3 linked regions of the Oryctolagus cuniculus genome follow. The protein of the gene in region 1 interacts with the protein of each later gene in a pairwise test. Links are inferred from orthologs where the notes say so. Each region holds a gene or a part of one and is shown in the gene's direction. Other genes may lie near its edges.

Region 1 (3,512 bases):
GCAGTGAGTGTGATGGGTGTGGTGAGTGGTGGGCGTGGGGAGTGGATGGTTAGTGTGATGGGTGTGGTGAGGGAGATGGATCTGTTTCCATCAGTCTTTATGGCTACTCTTCAAGGTTGTTTTTTTTTTTTTTTTTTTTTTTTTTTTTTGGTCAATTCCATCATACTCTGGAGCTATTGTTAGTTTCTGCTTCAGTTGTACTTTTCATTCCTGAAATTTGTTTTATCTCTTTTGTACATCTGGCTTTTTGCCAGTACTGTGCACTTTTTCATTTAGTTCAAAATGTTGTAATTGCTCATTGAAGTATTTTTGTGAGAGTTGTTTTAAAACTGTTAGATAATTCTCTCTTCTCAGTTTTCTCTGGCTCTTGGTCCTTCTTGATTGTATTGATGACGTCTGCAGTATCGCTTTCCGACATTCTCCTTCCTGTGTAGGTTTCCATGGCTTGTGTTATGAATTCTGCTTCCTGTTTAGGTCTTGGACTCATCGCTGCTGTTATGAATTCTGCTTCCTCTTCATCGTATTTTATTTGTTTGAAGGGCAGGGGGAGATCCGTCTTCTGTGTATTCTCCAAATGGCTGCACCAGCTGGAGCTAGCCCAAGCCAGAGCCCAGAGCCCAGAGCCCAGAGCTCCAACCAGGTTTCCCACATGAGTGGCAGGGGCCCAAATACTTGGACCATCTTTTAAGACACTCTCTGGCCGGTGCCGCAGCTCACTAGGCTAATCCTCCGCCTGCAGCGCCAGCACCCCGGGTTCTAGTCCCAGTTGGGGTGTCATTTCTGTCCCTGTTGCTCCTCTTCCAGTGCAGCTCTCTGCTGTGGCCCAGGAAGGCAGTGGAGGATGCCCAAGTGCTTGGGCCCTGCACCCGCGTGGGAGACCAGGAGGAAGCACCTGGCTCCTGGCTTCGGATCGGTGCAGCGCGCCAGCCATAACAGCCATTTGGGGGGGTGAACCAACGGAAGGAAGACCTTTCTGTCTCTCTCTCTCACTGTCTAACTCTGCCTGTCCAAAAAAAAAAAAAAAAAAAAAAAAAAGACACTCTCTAATATGGGATGCCAGTCCTCTACTTCCTCTTTAGATCTCCGTGGTCATGGCTGGTGTTTTGACATTCTGCTCCCTCTAAATCTTGGCCTCATCACTGGTGTTACATAATAAATTCTTCCTGTGTGGGTCTCCTTGCTCATCCCTGGTGTTAGGTTGTTATTGTGGGCAGTGAATGTACTACTTTTCAATCCAGGTTTTTGTCTTCCACACAGGTAGAAATACTAAATACTAAGAGGAGACTAGAATTGTACACAAGTAGGAACAGAATTCATTTTACCATGAGGGGATAAACATGTTCATGGACAAGTCTGTGCTTCTCCACACAGAAAAGACCCATCATGGGTGGGCCAAAGGGTTGCACGTGAACGAGAGGACCAGGAGTGGTACTGCTAAGTGAAAACGAGAGTGGTTCATCTGATAGTCCATGGAGGAAAGAACACTGTCTTGCCTTCAACCTCTTTGTAAACAGAGGGGGGGTACTTAATTAGATGCGCAAACAGGGTGGGCTCTAAGCAACAGATGCATCCTGGGAAGGCGGGCCTATGGAGCTGACAGTTAAAGAGCATGATTTTGCAGGGGTACGAGAATTCCAGCTCAGCTAACTTTGTCTAGTTACACCACATTATCATAAGCTGCTCCTTTTTAGGTCCCCACGCTCGTGGCTGGATTGGTTGTGAATTCTCCTTCCTGCTTAGATACCTACTCATCACTGGTGGTGTTCTTCCTGTGCAGATCCGGTTACTCATTACTGGTGTTACATTTCTTCCTATCAAGTCTCTGGACTCATTCCTGGTGTTTTTTTGTTTTTAAAAGATTTATTTATTTTATTTGAAAGGCAAGAGTTACACAGAGGCAGAGAGAGAGAGAGGTCTTCCATCCTCTGGTTCACTCTGCAAATGGCCAGAGCTGGGCTAACCCGAAGCCAGGAGCTTCTTCCAGGTCTCCTACGTGGGTGCAGGGGCCCAAATGCTTGGGCCATCCTCCACTGCTTTCCCAGGCCATTAGCAGAGAGCTGGATCAGAAGTGGAGCAGCCAGGACTCAAACCGGCACCCATATGGGATGCCAGCACTGCAGGCAGTGGCTTACCCGCTATACCACAGCGCTGGCCCCATTGCTGTTGTTTTGAGTTCTTCCTATGTAGGTCTCTGTACCCATTGCTGGTTCTGTTAGGAGTTCTCCTTCCTGTTTAGGTCATGGTACTCACTGCTGGTGTTGTCTGTACTCATTGCTGGCACCTGCTGGGTGCTGCTGGCAGGAGGGTGAAGGGCGTCGCTTAGTTACAGCCGGGCCAGGCATCAGGGTCCCGGCCCACAGTCCTGGTGCCAGCCACTGCAGGTCAAGGAAGCTGGGAGTCAGGAGGATTCTGCTTAAACTGGCCTCACCGGATTCTTGGTGAGGGCAGGCCAGGCTGGTAAGATGTCACTTGGGGGTGGTGGACAGTGGGAATGGGGGCATCTGGGCTCTTCCTAAAACTGGATTTTAGAGGTGCACTGCGGGCCTGGGGGTTCAGAAACCTGACGAAAGTTATTTAAGCAGAGACTCTGCCAGTATCTGCTTTATTTTTAAGAATTTGAACCAAGGCCAGCGCTGTGGCATAGGGGGAGAAGCCGCCGTCTGCAGTGCCGGCATCCCATATGGATGCCAGTTTGAGTCCTGGCTGCTCCACTTCTGATCCAGCTCTCTGCTGTGGCCTGGGAAAGCAGTGGAAGATGGCCCAAATCCTTGGGCCTCTGCACCTGTGTGGGAGACCCAGATGAAGCTCCTGGCTTCGGATGGCTCAGCTCCAGCCGTTGGCAGCCAACTGGGGAGTGAACCAGCAGATGGAAGACCTCTCTCTCTCTGCCTCTCCTTCTCTCTCTGTATAACTCTGACTTTCAAATAAATAAATAAATCTTTAAAAAATTTGAACTTGTATTTGTTTTCAATATAAGAAATACTGAACTGTCTGTTTTCTCTTCTTAGCTGAGCTTCAGTCACTGTCTGTTCCTGGAACTTACCAGGAGAAGATTACTCACTTGGGAAATTCTCTGATGAACTTAACGGGTCTCAGAGCTCTGGACCTCTCACGCAACTCCTTGGTTAGTCTGGAGGTACGTTTGATGAAAGAGAAGATTTACTGCTGTCAGTATCAGCAGAGGCTGCACTTGTGGTAAAACCATCTGTTTCTTAGTGAAGTACTTGAAGTTCCCGTGAACGGCATGCTCAAAGGTTGGCCGGTGTTGTGTTCTGTGTCACGTCACGTCCTCACTTGACACGGGTGATCGGCACTCCGAGACTGATGGACGTGGCTGAGACCTCAGAGGAGTGACTAAGAGGCCAGGAGCTGCGGTGTGCATGCCCGTCACTCCCTACCTCGAGGTGTCCGGCCACCTTCTGCACCTCCCTGTGTCTGGCCCCGCTCTTTTTTTTTTTTTTTTTATGAATCTTATTTTATTTTTTGACAGGCGGAGTTAGACAGTGAGAGAG
Region 2 (4,276 bases), on another chromosome or scaffold:
TCTTTTCCTGGGTCAGTATAACAGGTCAAATAATAGGATTATACTCATAAATAGAGCATTAATGTTCTATTAGGGGGAAAAAAAAGTCAATGTAGATGTCACCAGGAGCGTGTATTTTCCGGTCATTCTAAAGCTGGTTTTAATTTTGAAGATACACACAGTGGCTAGCCATACCATCTTCAATAAAATGCTGTTAATAGTGAGGGAATGTGGTGCCTCAATAATGTCTTGAGGAAAAGAAACCTTTAAGTGGTCATTTGAAATCATGTAGAAGCTAAATATAATTCTAAATTTAGAAACCATGTTCTTAGTACTATGGGCAAACTATTTCTAGCATGTAAAGATGTCTTTAGGAAAAATATTTTTACAAAAAAAATCCTGTGAAAAATAAGTCTCCTGATAAGTTGTTCCCAGCTCTGATGCCAGTTATAATTTTCCAAAATCTATGGATCACGAATTACCCTCGAATAGTAGTTTCTGCGTCAAAAAAAAAAAAAAAAAAAAAAAAAAAAAGCCATCTGGCCTCTCCCCTCTCCCCTTTTCCTCTCTGTCCCTTCACCTCTCTGTACAGAGGTGAAGTGGACACCCACACGTGTTACTTTCTCAAGGTCAGAGTTAAAAGTAGATAGCATGGAGCAGCGCTGTGGCATAGCCAGTAAGGCCTCAAAAAGGCCTCTGCCTGCAGTGCCCGCATCCCATATGGGTGCTGGTTCGAGCCCCGGCTGCTCCACTTCCGATCCAGCTCTCTGCTATGGCCTGGGATAGCAGTAGAGGATGGCCCAGCTCCTTGGGGCCCTGAATCCGCGTGGGAGACCCAGCAGAAGCTCCTGGCTCCTGGCTCCAGCGAGAATGAACCAGCGGATGGAAGACACCCCCCCCCCCCGCCTCTCTGTAACTCTTCCTTTTAAATAATAAATAAATATTTAAAAAATAAAAACAAAAAGCAAACATCATTGTGTTGTCTGTTCTTGAGCGGAAACACCTCCACGGCACACAGGCCCGGCAAAGCGCAGCGGGGTGATGAGCAGTAGCTCGTGGGAACGTCCGCACCATCACTCCCGCCTCAGCAGATCCGTGGGGACGGCGGTACCGGGTGGACTGTGGCTCCGGGGTTAAGTGAACATGTCTCGGCTTCTCCGCCTCCGTCGTCACCCTTCACCTCACAAAAAGTTGAGGACCGCGGAGAAAATACTACCATGAGAGAAGATTTGACATCCCGACGCTGGGGGGTGCAAGACGTCTCTTTTTTCTTTTCTTTTTTTTTTTTTTCTTTTGCCTAAAAGAAGCTACGGCCTGACCGACCGGAACTTCCCTTGCCCTTAACAAAGAGGGCGACCGTGACGTGAGCCAATCAGATTGCTCTATGCCCGGGCCTTGTTTCAATTTCAACCCAAGGAGGAGGCCTCCGGGAGCTCTGACGTAGCCAATCAGTGCGGCACGACCGCCGTGTGCGGCTGACGACAGAGGCAGGGGCGGAGTCAAGTTGGAATTTTGGCGGGTTCGCCTGTAGACCGGGAAGAGGCGCCGGCGCCGGCTCTGGGTAAGAGGTGCGAGTTCGGGGCGCGCGGGGACTCTGGCGGTGCCGGGGGCCACGGGCCGCCCTCGCGTGTCCGTGAGCGGGGCTCGGAGAATTCTGCGCGCGAGAGGCGCCGAGCCCAGCAGGGCCCGGACGGGCGAGATCTGAAACCGGGCGGCGGCGGGTATCTGAACGCCCAGGTGGAGCGATGGGAAAAGCGCGGGGGCTGAGGAATGGCGGAAGCATCCACTTAAGGGACCAGTGTTTTCCTTTGTAAAAATAACCTTTGAAAATGCATGCAGTCTAGGCTGTCTCTAGGCGGCCCATTGCTTTGATTCTGAGACGCTAATCGCTGTTGAGAGCGCTGGGGCCACAGTGCATTACCTCTGCCCTCTTGAGACTTTGGATCTAAAGGGGGGAGCAGACAGCAGGCTAGAGCCCGATGGCGGATGACGTGACAACAGAGAGGCTCAAGGAGAGGATCGGCAGGAGCCCCCGCGGGTCGGGTGGCCCGGAAGGGTTCAGGGAAATGAGAAGAGAGAGCTAGGGCAGAGCTTTCCAGTAGAAAGCCCGAGGCCTGAGAGCCGCTCGTTGTGTGTTCCAGCGGTGGAAAGCAGACCAGCCTGGCTGGAGAATGATTTGGGAGGTGGGTGAACGCATGGAAAAGGTGGAAGTAGAGATACGCGAGAGAGGGCATCCCCTGCTCCAAAGGCTTGGGGGATTTTGTTCTGAGGGCAGTGGGACATCATTAAAGAAATTCAGGCATGAGATTAGTGGTGACTTACACTGGGCATTTGGCGGTGAAGCCGGACAGAAGTGGAAGATTTTTGAGTACGTCTTAGAGACGTATAGTCTTGGTTGGATGGCCCTGGGTAGGAGGGGAAGAAGAGTGCAGGTTTGTTTGGGGGGACTGGTGGGTGCTGGTTATAGATATGAGCAAGACAGTTGCTGTTAACCCTCAGGAAGCTTCCAATCCAGCAGATTCGGTAATAGATGATGCCTCGTGCAGTGCTTGATGGGATCCGTGGAAATATTTATTAAATCAAATAAAAAAGCCTCAGACTTTCCTAAGTCGCACATATCACAGAGCACTTGTAACCTAGGAATGTACTCTTGTTGACTTGCTTTATTTTATTTTATTTTTGTAGAGGCTAACAAATGGCTCCTATCTGCTGGTTCACTCCCTGGATTCCTACAACAGTTGGGATTGGGCCAAGATTGTAGCCAGGAGCCAAGAACACAGTCCTGATCTCCCCTGTAGGAGACAGGGACCTAACTACTTGGTGTATCACCTGCTGCCTCCCAGAGTGTATATTAGCAGGAAGTGGAATTAGGAGCCAGAGTTAGGATTTGAACCCAGGCACTCTGGTGTGGGTAAGGGCTGTTGACCACTAGGCTAAATGCCTGCTCCTGTTTGCAGTTTTAAAATCATTTTAAGGGGTTGGCACTGTGGTGTAGCAGGTAGAGCCGCCGCTTACAGTGCCAGCAGCCCATATGGGTGCTGGTTCGAGTCCCAGCTGCTCCACTTCTGATCTGGCCCTTTGCTATGGCCTGGAAAAGCAGTAGAAAATGGCCCAAGTCCCTGGGCCCCTGCACCTGCGTGGGAGACCCAGAAGAAGCTCCTGGTCCTGACTATAGATCAGCACCACTCTGGCCATTGAGACTATCTGGGGAGTGAACCAGTGGATGAAAGACCTCTTTCTCTGCCTCTGCCTCTCTGTAACTGCCTTTCAAATAAATAAATCAATCTTTAAAAAAAAAATCTTTTTAAGTCAAAAAGGACAGTGCCCTGAATCATACAAGTTAGCTATGCTAACTACTACTCCGTGCTTTGCTGGCTAGTATTGAATTAAATTGTAACAAAGGCAAGAACTAAGTGAAATCACATGCTAAGCTGCTGAGGATAAAGTGGACATTAAGTGTATATTACAGGCAGTAAAGATGGTAATAGCCTAACCCCAGTAATTATTGTTCACAATTCCATCTCTGCAGGGTAATCTAGTATTGTACAAACTGCTCCGCACCTCAGCTGAGTTTCTGTAACCGTAGATTGAAAGCAGGTCAAAGAAGACTGCTTCTGTACTAGGAGGAGACGAGGAATGGTCAGATTCTGGTGAATTCTGCGGTTGGAGCCCGTAGAATTTGCGGGATTCTGGATATGTACTGTGAAAGACATGAGTTAACTTCTCCAATGTTGATTTCCCCACAGCCAGGATCCTACGTCACTCATCCTCTGGGCAGCTCATCCCCTTTCGATGTTCCCTGTTGACCCTGCTCTTGACAGCATGGATGGTAAGGCCTGGCTCTTTTCTCAAGTGCTCTTTGTTTTGTGGGAAACCAACCTTTTGTCCATGGACTTATTTATTCTGCTGGCAAGATGTTCCCTCACCCTCAGGTGTGTCTGAGTGATTCAAAAGCGGTTTCACCCAGTCACTGAATGTTATTTAATTAGACTTCTCTTAATTAGACTTCTCTCTGATAATAGTTCTCACTGACATGTTCTTACAATGTGCCAATTACTGCTCTCATCCTTACATATGTTAGTGGATTTAACCCTCACAACAAATGTATGTTAGACAGGAAAACAGTGATGTGTAGTGACTCATCAGAGGTCCAACTGTCAGAACAGGTGTTTGAACGAGATTACCTAACTTCATAATTCATATTTAATATTGTGGTCTTTTGAAGTGGCTATAGCATAGCTCAGACTTAAATTTTATAGTCCTATCTCATTTTTTTTTTCATTTTGCAGAGGTGTGT
Region 3 (4,088 bases), on another chromosome or scaffold:
TGGGACAGCTGCATCTGGTATTGGAGTGCCTGCTGCGTTTGAGTCTCGACTCCACTGTCCATGACAGCTTCCTGCTAATGAACACTCCGGAAGGCAGCAGGTGATGGCTCAGGTATTTGGGTCCCTGCCACCCATGTGGGAGACCCGGATTGAGTTACTGGCTCGTGGCTTCCACCTGGTCCAGTCCCAGCCATTGCAGGCATTGAGGAGAGAGCCAGCAAATAAGAGCGCTCTCTCTCTCTCTCTCTCTCTCTCGGCCTCTTAAATACTTTAAACAAATTATTTGTCATAGGCTAATAGTATTAGCTAACCATTGTTTTATGAGCTTTACAAATATGATCTTAATTTTCTTAACACCCTGTAAGTATCTACTGTTATCATCAACCCCATTTCACAGATGATGAAACCGAGCCCAAGAGGGGTGAGGTAATTTTCCCAAGGCAGCAAAGATAGCAGACAAGATGGTGGAGCAGGCATTTGAAACCAGGCAATCTGATTCCAGGATTCATGCTTATTAACTACACTATGCTGCACCATTAGGGAGACTTTGGAAAATACACAGAAACATACACAACCACCTATTTGTACTAGAAAGAACTACTGGTCTCTTTGCTGTATAGCCTTCCTGTTCTTTATATGCTTACATAGTACACTGTATATACTTTTTTAAAAAAAAAGGTCATATTTTGTATCTTGGTCTGTAATCTTCCTTAAGACCATTTCCCTATCTGTACACAAAATCTCCCCATCGTTATTTTATACAGCGCCTAACATCCTTTCATGTGATTGAAACAGTGCTTACTTAAACAGTACCCTGCTGAGGTGCATTTAAATGGCTTTCAGTGTTTCTACATTACAGACTTCTTCAAGAGCCAGAGGAGGGGAATAGGATTTTTTTAAAGCGACCTTTTGAATTCAATCAGCTAAAGCTGCAAATAAGATTAAAAACCTAAAAGCCGCCAGGGAAAGCAGGCCCGTGTGTAGGAGGAGAAGGCAAAGGGGGGGGGGCCGTTACCATGGATCTTCCTGTGCTCCCTTTGTCTGGTGGCCCCACGGGATTGGCCAGACCGGTGCCGAGGGACTGCAGAGGCCCCCCCACCTGGTTCCCAGTGCGCATGCGTGGAGGAAGTGGCTCGGGGAGGGGCAGCAGGAGTGTTGGTGCAGATAACCTCGTGTGAAAGAAGAAACAAAAAGCTCAGAGGCGGGGTTTTTCGCCACAACCAAACTTGTCTCCGGCCCTTTACCAAGGCCCCAAGCTTCTTATTGGTCAGGCATTCTCAGCCCCATTGGTCCGAGTGGCAAAGGATTGGGTCTGCCCCAAGCTGTGCCTGCTTCCGGAGCCTTGATTTAAACGGTCAATTGTGATGCCGCTTTCAGGCACTGTCTACGGCATGTCCGTGGGGGCCTGAAGGGGCTTTGTACAGCTACCGGTACTTGAGCGTACGATCAAGTTTCCAAGATGCCACCCAAAGGAAAAAGTGGTTCCGGAAAAGGGGGGAAAGGTAGAAGGGCCAGAGTAATCCGGGAGAATGGGAGGGGGTGAGAAGGGAGGAAACAGGCAATTTCCGGGGTCCGAGACGGAGGCAGCAGATGGCCGGTGGCCTCACTTAGCTGCGTCGAGTTTATCTGGGGTTTCTCCGCTAAGGCTAAGAAAACCTAAGTGCGCGAGGGGCTGCTGGAGTTGTTGGAATATATTGGGATACAGTTGCTGGGTGGTAGAGGGTAGTAGGGGTAGGTCCTCGGAGACCGTGACTTGGGGCTGCGATTTCAAGGTTATTAGAGCCGTGACATTTAAATGTTATCAAAGGCCGACGGTAAAAAGAAATTCACATTGGTAATGGTTCTTAAGATTCCACTTAATGCTTACAGAATGACATGCCAACATTTGGAAAAGACTTGTTCATCCAGGGAGCAGAAATATGTGTGGTAGGCACAGTGCTTAGTTCTGGGGAAATAAAGCAAGGCACAGCCTACGGAAGTAGTGAGGAAGATAGAAAGCATTATACTAAGGTCGATGTGGAGAGATGTGTGGATGTTGTAGGAACTGAGAAAGTGCTCCATCTAGCCGCAACAGAAAAGGGAAGACTACTGGACATGAGTTAGGCAGGCCAAGGTTAGCATGAGAGGTAGGACAAAGCATTCCTGATAGAGGCTCCAGCAGCCAAAACCCCGAGGTACCCTGGTATGATGCTATAAAGCTTGGTTAAGAGTCAGGAAGACCTGTAAGGGAGATTGTTGGAGTAATCCTGGTGAGAGGCAGTGATGACCAGAATTAAGGTAGTCACTGGGAGAGAAAAAAAAATACTCCAGAGTCTGGAGAGACCAGAAAGTTTTGAAAAACTGTTTGAAAATCAATGAAGCACAGCAAAGTGGCCGAATAAGATGAAGACTAAGAACAGTACTGTTGGATTTGGGAATTAGAGGTGGCCTTAGGCGAGAGTGGTTTTCATGGAGTGAGAAAGGCGGAAGCCAGATGGCAGGGACTAGGGGCTGACAGGGAAGTGCTGAAGTTGGAGATAATCAGTATACACATCCCTGGAAAGCTGTCACTGAAAAGGTATGGAAATAGGATGATAGATAGAGGATAAAGAATCAACAGAAAGTTTTCTTTTGTTTCTTTGGCATGGGGAAACTTGGGAGTAAGGCTGAGGTGAACGATCCAGTAGAATAACAGAGGAGTGAGACTTAGGAGAAAATGAGGTCTAGGACTGAGGGGAACAGTTGACATGACATGTTTCATGTCATAAAGAGACAGGATGGGTGTGATTATAAAAACTGGGGCAGAGAGGAGAACAGAGTGGAGTTAAAGAGATCATGTTTACTGGCCTCAATTTCTTTTTATAAGATTTATTTTATTTGAAAGGCAGAGTTTATATATATTATATTATATATATTATATATATTATATATATATGAGAGCTCTATCTTCCATCCGCTGGTTCAATCCCCAAATGGTAACAACAGCCAGAGCTGGGCCAGACCGAAGCCAGGAGCTTCTGGGTCTCCCACGTGAGTGTAGGAGCCCAAGGACTTGGGCTATTTTCCTCTGCTTTCCCAGGTGCATTAGCAGGGAGCTGGATCAGAAGTGGAGCACCAAGAAGTGAACCAGCACCCATATGAGATGCCAGCACTGCAGACAGTGGCTTAACCTGCTGTGCCCAGCTCAAGCCCCCGGCCTCAGTTGCTTAATAGAAGTAAAGGGTTTTTTTTTTTTTTTTTAAGACTGAAGAGCAGAGACTCAATAAGAGTCTTTAGAAGAGTGGTAAACATCTGGAGTAGGGTAACAGGAGAGGAAATGCAATAAATAAAAGGATTACCCTCAGAGCTGAGAGCCTGACCAAGATTGAAGACTTGGACTTTAATGATATTTTAGGAAATGCTTATTGAACTGGACACTTAATCCAGCTATAGTTCTTAGGAACATGTAGTAGGATGTATGCAGATGTTGACAATGAAGTTAATGTAGTAATTTGATTCACCAGCAAATATTGCCAGTGATTATTATTCTGAATATCAGTGACTTTTCTTAGGAAAATATCAGTAACCAATGAAGTAGAGTTGAGGAATTTGGGCATGAGTGTGTTCTTTAGGCCAATATTGGTAGTGAGAAACTTTGTGAGTGCTTGAATACATAGCTTTAGAATATACGAGTAATCTTACAAGAGCAAAGAGGTATGCCCTCAAAAGGCCAGATTTGAAATTGGGTCCAGGCTGGCGCTGTGGCTCAATTGGCTAATCCTCCACCTGCGGCGCCAGTACACCAGGTTCTAGTCCCGGTCGGGACACCGGATTCTGTCCCGGTTGCCCCCCTTCCAGGCCAGCTCTCTGCTGTGGCCAGGGAGTGCAGTGGAGGATGGCCCAAGTGCTTGGGCCCTGCACCCCATGGGAGACCAGGAGAAGCACCTGGCTCCTGCCATCGGATCAGCGCGGTGTGTCTGGCACAGCAGCCACTGGGGGGTGAACCAACAGAAAAGGAAGACCTTTCTCTCTGTCTGTCTCTCTCTCACTGTCCACTCTGCCTGTAAAAAAAAAAAGAAAAAGAAATTGGGTCCAGAGGGCTCTCATTTGCCCATTGGCACGCTTAACTT

What was found. The genes of interacting proteins can lie anywhere in the genome.
Region 2: the proteins of CEP72 (region 1) and MCM10 interact in a two-hybrid assay, tested with the Homo sapiens proteins (2 studies listed by BioGRID and IntAct). The two-hybrid records come from large-scale screens. The link is inferred for Oryctolagus cuniculus from reciprocal best matches to the Homo sapiens genes CEP72 and MCM10.
Region 3: the proteins of CEP72 (region 1) and PIN4 interact in binary tests that used the Homo sapiens proteins (3 or more experiments, as listed by UniProt). The two-hybrid records come from large-scale screens. The link is inferred for Oryctolagus cuniculus from reciprocal best matches to the Homo sapiens genes CEP72 and PIN4.

What each region holds. Positions count from the first base shown.
Region 1 is NC_091445.1:97,319,728-97,323,239, reverse strand, and holds part of CEP72 (centrosomal protein of 72 kDa), read left to right. Parts: intron 1-3,008; coding exon 3,009-3,136; intron 3,137-3,512. UniProt on the Homo sapiens protein: Involved in the recruitment of key centrosomal proteins to the centrosome.
Region 2 is NC_091444.1:69,845,895-69,850,170, reverse strand, and holds the start of MCM10 (protein MCM10 homolog), read left to right. Parts: upstream 1-1,476; 5' UTR 1,477-1,540; exon of another isoform or gene 1,541-1,547; intron 1,548-3,725; 5' UTR 3,726-3,771; coding exon 3,772-3,808; intron 3,809-4,276. UniProt on the Homo sapiens protein: Acts as a replication initiation factor that brings together the MCM2-7 helicase and the DNA polymerase alpha/primase complex in order to initiate DNA replication. Additionally, plays a role in preventing DNA damage during replication.
Region 3 is NC_091453.1:52,235,459-52,239,546, forward strand, and holds the start of PIN4 (peptidyl-prolyl cis-trans isomerase NIMA-interacting 4), read left to right. Parts: upstream 1-1,288; 5' UTR 1,289-1,459; coding exon 1,460-1,502; intron 1,503-4,088.